Drosophila melanogaster: one gene and its partner. The protein of the gene in region 2 purifies or fractionates together with the protein of the main gene of each other region. This does not show direct contact. Each region holds a gene or a part of one and is shown on either strand. Other genes may lie near its edges.

Region 1 (5,166 bases), on a different chromosome or scaffold from region 2:
GCATCTTAATCGACAGACGCTGCATACCTTTTTGGGGGCCTGCGAAATCGCCAGTCAACTTCCCGGCCGAAGGGATGGGGCTCTCGAACAGGTCCAATCCAAACATCCCCCGATGACTGGCTGGCTAACAGGTAAACACTGGCTACACTCGAAAATAAAATGGTTCGGAACATGCATGAAAAAATCAACCTTATATAATCTTATGTTATGAGGATAACATTTCGAAATTTAGGCTTATGTATATGATTTTATCAATAGTAATTAGTTATACTTAAAAAACGTTCAGATTTTAAGTAGATTTTCTAAGGTTTTTAGTGATTTTTCCAAGTCTACCCCTGCGTGATTTCTTCTGCAGCATTCTGATGCCGTTCGTCCTTCAACAGACGCTGCTCCTTTCACACGCAACGCCTCAGCTCGCGTCCTTATTTTCCCTTTTCCACCTCGCGTTGGCACATTTTCCTTTTGCTGCCTCCTCAGCTTTTTTTCGCAGCTCCCCCTCGGCCCCTCACCACATTTCTTGGGGCCCATTGAATTTCATTGTGCGCTCAAATTGTTTTGGTATTCAAGCTTAAAGCACGCGACTGCTTCTATGCCTGTGGTCGGCCATCCTGCTCCTTGGCTCCTTGTGCTGCCACTGTTCCTTCTGTTTTCTGTTTTCCTTTTTTTTTGTTTTTTTTTTTTGCTGCTGCAGGTCCTGCCAGCGAGTGTGCTGGTGTGCGTGCGATGTTTTCGTCCTCGGCGATGTTCTCTGCCTTCCAGCGTATCCTGTTGCTTGCGAAACGCAACCAGTTGAACATTTCCAGCAGGACTCTCTGGGCCTCGGCTCCGCTCGGCTTTCAATATCGTCCTCCGGCGCTCTCTCGCGCTCTCGGGAAAGGATTTCTCTGCTTTTGCTCTCTCTGTTATTCGGCTGTTGCTTGGCACATGTTTAACGCGCAATTATTTTGGTCCTGTTGCGCTTTTTCCATCGCCTTTGTGAGAGTATGGGTGGCTGGATGGCTTAGTTTGTATTCAGACAAAGTCAACTTAAAGTTGCTAAAATAACGTAATTAATTCTGTTATTGAGCACTCAGAAATACACTTAGTTTCTGGTTTTAGATGGATTTTTAAAGTGCGTATATAAGTCCCTAAGGTAGCACTGGTAATCATTACTCCTTTTATTTAAGGATGAATTTTTTAAATGAAAATTCCCTAATACTTTGAATTCTAAACAAACGGTTCTTATAATTTGTTTTACTTTTAAAATTTATACTATACTTCCATTGCACAATTTAAATGTGCACCGAGTCATCAATCAGGTTGTTCCTCATTTTATCACTCGTTTATTTTAATAGAGATTAATTCATCAACATTACGATTATTATTATTATTATATTATATTATTCAATAAGTTCCGCTCCTTAAAAAGCCCCTAAATATCGTGATACCACCATCTCCATGGACATCCACATCATGATGGCCATCAGCATCATTGCTGGGCATGCAACAATTATGAAAAGTCTCCACTCGGGTACGCTTGTCCGCTCGTGTAGACCGAAATCGGCGGCAGGATGGCCGAGTGGATGGATAGAGAGCGCGCACCTTGTGGCAAGTGCGTGTGCGTGGGGGGGCGGGGCATGTGCGATAGGCGACGTTCGCAGCTGCCTGCATCCGCATCCAGGGAAATCGCTTAGCTGTTGCTTCGTGTGCGACTCGCAAGGTGGAAATTGATATTACTTTTTAATGCTGGGCCAGCTGGTGGCTGGCAGGACTTCCAGTGCGCGACAGGGAGGCGGTTATGCCGAGGAGCGGCCGTGCGACAGAGAGGGCGCGAGAAGCGAGAGCGCACTGCTTCGGCTCGAAGGACCAAAAGTGCCAGCCTCGTCACAGTTCGAGTTGAGCCGTCTCGCGAGCAGGACACCAAACGCGGAGGCTGACATATCCTGTCGCCAGGAACTTGGCAACTTGGGTACTTGGGAAACAGGAACCCAGGCTATAGGAGCTATAGCCTTTCTAACTTCTCCCGGCCAAGGTGTGCGTGTGCGCGAGTGTGGGTATCCTGGCTGTTGCTGCTGCTGTAACGGTGTGTGCTTTGTGCGTATGTGAGTGTGTGCGTAGCCGTGTTGTTGGCCAAACAAAAGCCAGAAGAAGTGACGAATAAATTTATAATCGCGCGCTTAACACACGCTACCTGAAAATATACATTTTGCAAAAAGTACTACTCTCACTTTAAGACTAAAAAATTGTTTAGACGCGCAGGTGAGTTGAATTCGTGTGTGCCAAAAATTGTTGTTATGAAAGGACTCGCGTGGCAGGCTAGCAAATAGTTTAATTTCCGGTCTGGCCATCAGGCGCACATCCGGTTTCAGTTTTATTTCCGTCTGTGCTCACTGCTCATTCACATGTTCCAGAATATATCTGCCAATTCTTAAATTCATTTCATAAATACGAATAGGACTTTTAAATTTGAAAGGGCAAAGCAATTTTTTCAGAGGTACCCACCACAAACTTAAACTTTTAAGCAGTAGTTTTCTTTTTTTGTTAAATCATATTTGCTATTTAATATTTAAGAAGAGTATATTTATGTGCCTTATAAAACTCCCAAGTACTTAAGAATTTTTCAAGACCTCGAATCGTTACTGCCAACTTTGTATTGGCTGGAAAAGTGCTTGGAAAAAGAATAAATGTATTGCAAAAGTCCCTGTCTGAATTTGATAAAATACCATTACACAAAAGGTATTGATTCCTGGTCCTGGCCCCTCCAACTAATTCCAAACGTATTAACCAGGCTTATGTCTTAGCCCTTGGGGGCTTTGAGAAAAGACGGCGGACAAACACCTCACAGGCTGGAAAATAAAACAACTTAATGAAGCAAGAAATTGAAAACATTATCAAGGCGATTAATTATTGATACTTTGATGTTGCCGGCCCCCGTCTAATTAATTTATAATTAAGTTAAGCATCTGCCCGGAGCTCACTCTTTGGATTTCGCTGCTTGAGCTTTAAGTCGAGGATGAGGAGCAACTTTAAGCTGTCTTCGGCACCTGCTTCAGCAATTTTTGCGATTGAGACTTTATGGACGTGACCCGCCTGCCGTATCGATGGCAATCAGATTGTTGGGCTGTTTGGGATGACTGGGGTGAGGCTTGGCTAATGCCTGCTTCTGGCCAGCCAACTGTCATTACTCTTGGCCCTAATCCCTGGCCGAGTTTGTGGCGCTCCACTCGAACGGATCCTGAGCCCCACAGCTGAGCCCCTGCACTTACACCTGCCATCGCGTCTGGTCGAGGTCTGCTCCAAAGTGCCTTTATTATGCCATTTTAATTTAGATTCCTATCAATCAGTAATAAGCATTGTGTCCACCCGCACAGACAGCAAAAAAAGCGTTAAAAACGAAGAGATATTAGCTATTAGGGTCAGGAGCATTAGCTTAATATCCGCTTGATTTTTATTACAAAAACTTGATTAAATTGGATTTCCACACTCAGCGGGCAAAGCGAAAATTGGGTTTAAAGTAAATTTCAGATTTATGAAGTCAGAGAATTTTGGGCTTTCTCTTAATCCATTAAATATTACTCATATTTCCGAACATGAAATGTATTTTTCCCCTTTCAAGGGTGAAACATCAATGTCATAATTTACGAATTCATTTGATTGTTTTTACAAGACTCACAATTTGTATTGATATTTCCCACAGTTTTCGCAGAAAGTTTTATAGCATTCGAAGGGAGTAAACAAAGTTGTTTAGTTTTCCTGTTTTGAGCGGATATGCAAATCAAGCGGCAAAACTCATTTCAGTTTCCCCACAAAATCGCCAACAACAAGAAGACAAGGGAAAAGTTAACCAAAACAACAAATGCTAGGCGAAACTGATGAAAAAAAAAAGAAAACTCATTCGGATCGTTTGCATAAATTTGCGTCTTATTTTGTTGGCAATTTATATGCGCAGCCGAATGACACACGCATTTTAATTGAAAGCAAATAAAAGACTCTATAATACATAATATGACAAGCCATAATCCTGACAGCAACAGTTATGCATGCTGACAGCTCGCAGCGTAGGGAAAATGTGGGGAAAAGCGTGCCGAAAACTGGGTCGGAAAAGCGGTGGACTGCCGCGGAGTGGCGGACAAATCCGGAAAATGGACAGCAGGCAAATGCTGACAGGCTGGCCAGCCCAGCGAGTCTAATGGCATTTTAAACAACTGAACTGATGGCCAGTTAGCCCGCTTTTCCCTCGCATGTGTGTGCCCATCGAAATGTATTCATTAATGTCGTCTGCAAAGTCAAAGTGTTTAAAATGTTCAACACGCCCGGGGCACATCCTGGTATCATTATATCCTTGGCCCATCAAGTACACAAACACACGCACGTACGTGTGCAGCCCCAGGATGCCCGCAAAAGGATTAGGCCCTTTGTTTTGGCCCTGCCTAGCAGATTTGGCTCATTCTGGTTGCGCTTTAATCAAAAGCAGAAATTAATTAACTTTGTGCCGAGGATTCCAGACTTATCTCTTCACGGCGTGTGTTGTGAATAATGAACGTTTCCCGGACTCTTGGATTGCGAGATGCAAAATACCAAATTGCCGCTTCATTTGCACAACAATTTTTAATAAAGCAGCAGCAAAGTGAACGAATTTTTTCCCGTCGACGACTTTTGACCGGGTTTTCCGGACGTAAACAAGCGGAGGACCCAAAAAAAAATAAAAATAAAATAACCAAAAAACTGCGGGCCGCAGATAAAAAACGCGTAAACAAATAACCGACATAAAGCGCATAAAGTGAATGATGCTGGCCACAGGCGCAAATATTTATTTTACATTTTTAAATAAGTCGCTCACATTTGTTGTATTTGGCCTGATGTCGACATCCCATTTGATATATACACATAAAAAACTGATGCAGAGTAAAAAATTCCGTTTATTTACATGCTTCTTATCTGCTTTAATGCATTTACTCAAAACATTCAATACATTTTTATATTCATAAAAACATACTGTTGATTTATGAATCAGCTTAAAGACAACATATAGGAAATACCTTACTGACTTTCTACCTTTTGGGCTTTAAATCGGGTGTATATTAATACTTATATAATTATCGGAACATAAGTTTTTCTTCAGTCACTTTGTGTTTCGTTTATCAATCTTTTAAGCATCCAAATTTCTTTTTTATATCTATTGCTTTC
Region 2 (5,286 bases):
CCCATGGAGATCGCTCGAAATTTATGCAGATAACTGAATTGGCGAGCGAATTTTCATGGCGCCAGCCATTTCGAGCCAACGGGTGCAATGCACTGCACTATTGTAGTACTCGCAGGACACAAACAAATAAACACGCACACTTATGCACTCCAATAGAGCCATAAAAGAAAACGTGGCCAAGTTGCCACGCTAGTTGTTGCTGCAGCCAAAAACTATAAACGAGGCAATGACTTGGTGACTTTTTGCGGCTGCCTGCCAAATGGAACGTCTTATGGGTTTTTTTTTTTTTACCGACCAGCCTGCTGACTAATGACCATTCTACAGTCGCGGCTAGCCGCCTTTCGTTTGATTCATGGTCCTAGAGCCCATAATTGCACTTATTCATTCATAGTTGCAGCACCGGCCAGCGAACACAAGTCATTGACTGGGTCGAAAAGGATATCTGTGGGCTTTCCCGGAAAAGGCGAGCTGGAACAATGCCACTTTGTCGTTTGGCTTGTTCAACTTTTTCAATTGCGCGCACAATTTCCATGCAATTAACGGCGAACAAATGCAAGCGACAAAACCTGTCAACGGGAGGGTGTAATATAGGGTATAACGTAGCTAAAAGTTGGCCCAACAAGGCGCATTGAATATGTTCAATGGACGTGGCCAAGGGGGTGAAAGTGGGAGAAGGGCGAGCGACGACAGCGAAGCATAAAAAGCAATTTCATGCACCCATTGACCCCCACAAAATGTTGGTTACATGGGAGGGTGGGGGAGGAGAAAATGAGTGGGGGATACAGTGTCAATAGATAGTTGTTTCAGCGATGTCCAACCAGCCAACAGAACGCCCACACATCCACGCCCACTTGTATCCAAACAACAAAGCCCCTTACCAATTGTGGGCTCACTGCCATTACTCATACGCCCCGTGTGCATTGTCAAACATTTATGACGTCCATTTTGGCGAGTGTATTAGTGCTCTAGTGTGTGTGTGTGTGTGTGTGTGTGGGTGCTTGTGTGTCGTCATTACCATCATTTGTCTGTAGGGCAAAATACCCATCCACAACCCATTCCATCTCATCCGATACGATCCCATTCCTGCAATTCGTTTTGTTGTTGCCTAGTGACGTTCGCCATTTGCCAAGTGAATCGAGTGAAAAGGAAAATCGATTCCAACTGACTGCCTGTTGCTGTCTGCTACTAGTTTACCTTTTAATTAAATTTAACGCCCATCGAAGGACCACCCACTACCGAACACCCAACACCCACCGCCCACCACCCACCACCCACCACCCACATTTACTATTCATTATTGCCCAGTAAACAGAGCAGTAACAGCCACAAAAGAGAAGTAAACTGCACACAACAGAGAGAACACAGGGACTAAGTTTGCTTTATATGCTGTGGCAATTTCTCGGCCATTGTTCGTCATTGTCTGGGGCAACTGTTGATGTTGTTGCTTCGTTGATTCGTTGACTTTGCAGTACATAAGACTAGTCATTCGGTACAACTCGAAATACCCTTTTTTTTTTTTGTTTTAGTTTAACTTACATGCATTTCTCTATCAGGTTGCTGTGTAAACGGCGTTGTCTATTCGTTCGTTGTTTGTTGTTTATGGCTTTCCTTAGTTGAGTTAATTAATTTGGTTTTATTTGCTGTTGTTGTTTTGTTTTTAATAATAAAAGCGTTCTTGTTCTTTAGGTATTTTGTTGGCTATTTACAAGGCTTTGGTTGAATTTCATATACTTAAAAAACTTGAAAACTGTTCGGTAGAAAGACATTAATTATGGATTTTAATCACTTATGTGTATTCCTTATTTTTGTTAAACACTTCAGCGGCGCTCGACATTTGTTGTTTCTCTAGCGAGCTTCGCTTGTCGTCTAAGTGTAAAGTTGAAGTTGAGTTGTAATTATGTTGCATGCTGCCACTATTGTTGTAACACTCACACACACAGACGCGCACATTGGGGAAATAAAAGAGCGAGAGCGCGCGAGTGAGCGACTGAGAGAGCACACTGCAGCTGGCAGGAAATACTGGGACGTTTTTGTGGCAATACTGGGTTTCACCACACACTGAACGGAGGCCAAAGGCCAACGCGGGTTAGCCAAGTTAATCATACGCACTGTTGTACATAAAAAAATATTTACTCCGATTTGAATTAAAATTTCGAGGCATTTTAAATTGAATGGAGAAAGTTTAGTTACTAGAATAGTTTTTGTCATAATTGTTTTGGCTAACATTCTTTAGTTTTGATTGTGTGTGGTGAACTTTCTCTCTCGTTAACTGTCGCTCTCCCCTGACTTTTCATCCACATTAATAGTAATTTTTTTCCATATGAAATTGTTTTAAATTTATGACCTATCAAAGCAATTGACAGTGTCAATGAAATCTTCTATATTTCAAATTATAATTACAAAACTCAAGGATGAAGGACAGTCGTTAACTGCGGTAGACCTCCTTGAGTGTGTGTTAGTTTATTTTTCTGCATATTTAATGCGTTCATCCGCACCGAATCCTGGCCAAAAGGATCACGGCCAACACAACAAAGGAGCACAGAGGCGAGAAGTCGAGGAGAGAAGAGAGCGGAGAGAGGCGAGTTTTTGGGTGGGATTGCGTGGCGTTGTGTGTACAGAAAAAAAGCAACCAGCTCACGAACGGCGGAAAAAAGTTGGAAAAAAAAGTGAACGAATCAAATTTTGTCGTGGAGACCAATGAAAAATGCAGAATTTTCTTACATTTTTTATACACTTTCTTGTAGGTTGTTGGAGCTGTTTTGCGTTTGTGGTCATTAGCTTAAATCACAATTGGTTTGCACTTAGATTTTATGTAGATTTGTGTGTGTATAACATATACGTATATATCTATATATATATGCTTGTATGTGTGGCTATATATATATATGTATATAACTATGTGTGCAGCATTCCATATGCGCAAATGAATTTTCCGTTTAGCGAGCTCATTTCGTTTTTTTTGTTGCTGCAATTTTCGCTTGTTTAATTGTTGTTCGCTGGCGCTTAAAGCCTGATGTTGCTGCTTTCTGCTGGTGTGTGATTTTGTTGCTGTTGCTGTACTGCCTGCTGCACCAACAACAACTAGATGGAGTGCGGCGACAACAACAACGACAACGACGACGGATGCGACGACGGCAACGACATCACGACGGCACGACAACGACTGAAAACTGGACCCGCAGCTGGAGCTGGAAAAGCTATAGAGCCCACGATATGGCCCACCTACATCAGGAATTCGCTTCGATTGTCGTCAGCAGTTCAGGAATTTCTCTCTCGCTATCCCCGTATCACTCGGATTCTCTCATGAAAAGGGACTCTCTCTCTCTCTCTCTCTCACACACACTGCCTGTCGTTCGCGTGGTGAATTGACCAGGGAGTTGTTAACCAGGCAAGTGGGAGCACATGTTTCTCTCAGTGTTATGAGTGGCTTTTCATATTTCATGTGCAATTTTAACACCTACTACAAACTAACTGCCGAGTGTGTGACTCCAACTTTCACCACACACCCCCAAATACCCGCCCCCTTTGGGCATTACATGCTCATATGGTTGTTTTGCGCAAACATTAAGCAACAACATCGTGTTGCATATTCATAAAATTCAACTCCTCATCCAATGGGGGGCGTGTGTGTTTATGGAAATATGTTCACTGTTCACTTCCTCCCCTTGCTTGCTGTTGCCAAAAAAAAAAAGAAAAGAAAAACAGTTTTTCATTGCATTTGGGGATGTTCTTGCAGCAGCAGCGCCAATTTGGAACGAATCGCTCTTTATTGCATACTTCGAGGGGCAGGGAAATGATCCCTTCTCAGCGAATATTATTGAAAAGATTTGGCAGCTCAATCGAGCTTAAAATTGCAATAAACTTGAATAGGTTAACAAGCTGCGAAATACAGAAATATATTATAGTTTTTATGCTAGAAATCATTATATATACTTATACTTAGTTGTAATTTCATTTATATTTATTTCTTCTAAAACTTTAGCAATTTCCTTTAAAATGATTTCGCTTGCTTAGATCTGCTTTAAATCCATTTGAGCCAAATCTATTTTTGGATGCCCAACTTTTGACCTTAACACATCACGTGCTTGTCAAAAATATCCAACACTCAAAGCCCACAAAAATTTGTACACTTCTGTTGCATATTTCTCAATTGGCTTGAGTTGTCGTCGCTGTTATCGCTTTTATCTGTCAGCTTATCGCAGCCATCATGAGATTTGGCGTAAATTGTCACAGCCACTCCAGGCCAGCCTTCCTTCACCAGTGCATTTCCTTTACTTTGGATGCCTTTGGCAGAGTTACAGAGAAATAAATAAGTAATATTACTAATATGCATACGAATCAATGCATAGTTATTAAATATATCGAACAAATATCTGCAGTATCTTATTTGTAGTTTAACTATCAAAGTCCCATATAACAATAGTTTTAGTTTGGGAATTGATCTAGGTACAAATTAAAAATATTTTTATTATAATACTAAAAACCATTTAATTAATAGAATATTACTTTAGTTTGTCTTAATTCAACTACAAATTTGTTCTCAGCGTATGACAGCTGAAAACAGAAAGATAAACGCGTTTCTGGCTGTCGAAACTCTTATTCCATTGCTGATAGCCTGCTCACGTGCAGTGTCTTCGGCTCGCAACACTCGCACACCCGCAACACTCGCACAGTCGCCGGCACACACACACACTGGCACACGAAGGGGAGCGATTGGATTTCCGGCGGAGATGAGAGCAAGCTACGTGGGCGGGGGGAGTGGCAGGTGGAGTCTGGGAGTGCCAGGAGCTGTATTTGGCCGCCAGCATTTTCCGATGTTGCCGCTTACTTTGTAAGTGTGCGTGTGTGTGCGTTTGTGTGTGTGTCTGGGCGGCTGACGTCATTGAGCTTTTTATTGATTTTCATTTTAACCAAAAAAAAAAAAGAAAAAACAAGAAGAAAACATACTTGGGCTAGGACGCAGGGCAGGAAGGCCAACAGATGTCATCCAAGAAAAGTCGAAATGCGCAATTAAAGAGAGAGAGAGAGAGACTGCAAAGGGGGCTTTCTCGAAGGAAGTTTTTGACAAGAATTTCTTGGGGCCAGCGAATGCTGTGTTGTAAGGTAATTACAAGGAAGAGATGCTTTACAATTTCTAAGAGTTAACTTTAGTTGATTTCAAGCTGCACGTGAATAAAAGCACTTCAAATACAAGTGAAAGCCCACAAACGTATTATGGTGTAATTTAATTTATTGTTTGCAAGCTCAACTGCGTAATCAGGCTGTTTATATAAGTGTACACATATA

Evidence for each region.
Region 1: the proteins of Rim (region 2) and Fife purify together in Drosophila melanogaster (affinity purification with western blotting; one study listed by BioGRID). This does not show direct contact.

Annotation. Positions count from the first base shown.
Region 1 is NT_037436.4:2,708,424-2,713,589, reverse strand, and holds the start of Fife (fife), read left to right. Parts: upstream 1-1,899; 5' UTR 1,900-2,238; intron 2,239-5,166.
Region 2 is NT_033777.3:17,913,418-17,918,703, forward strand, and holds the start of Rim (Rab3 interacting molecule), read right to left. Parts: upstream 3,162-5,286; 5' UTR 2,722-3,161; intron 1,748-2,721; 5' UTR 1,537-1,747; intron 1-1,536.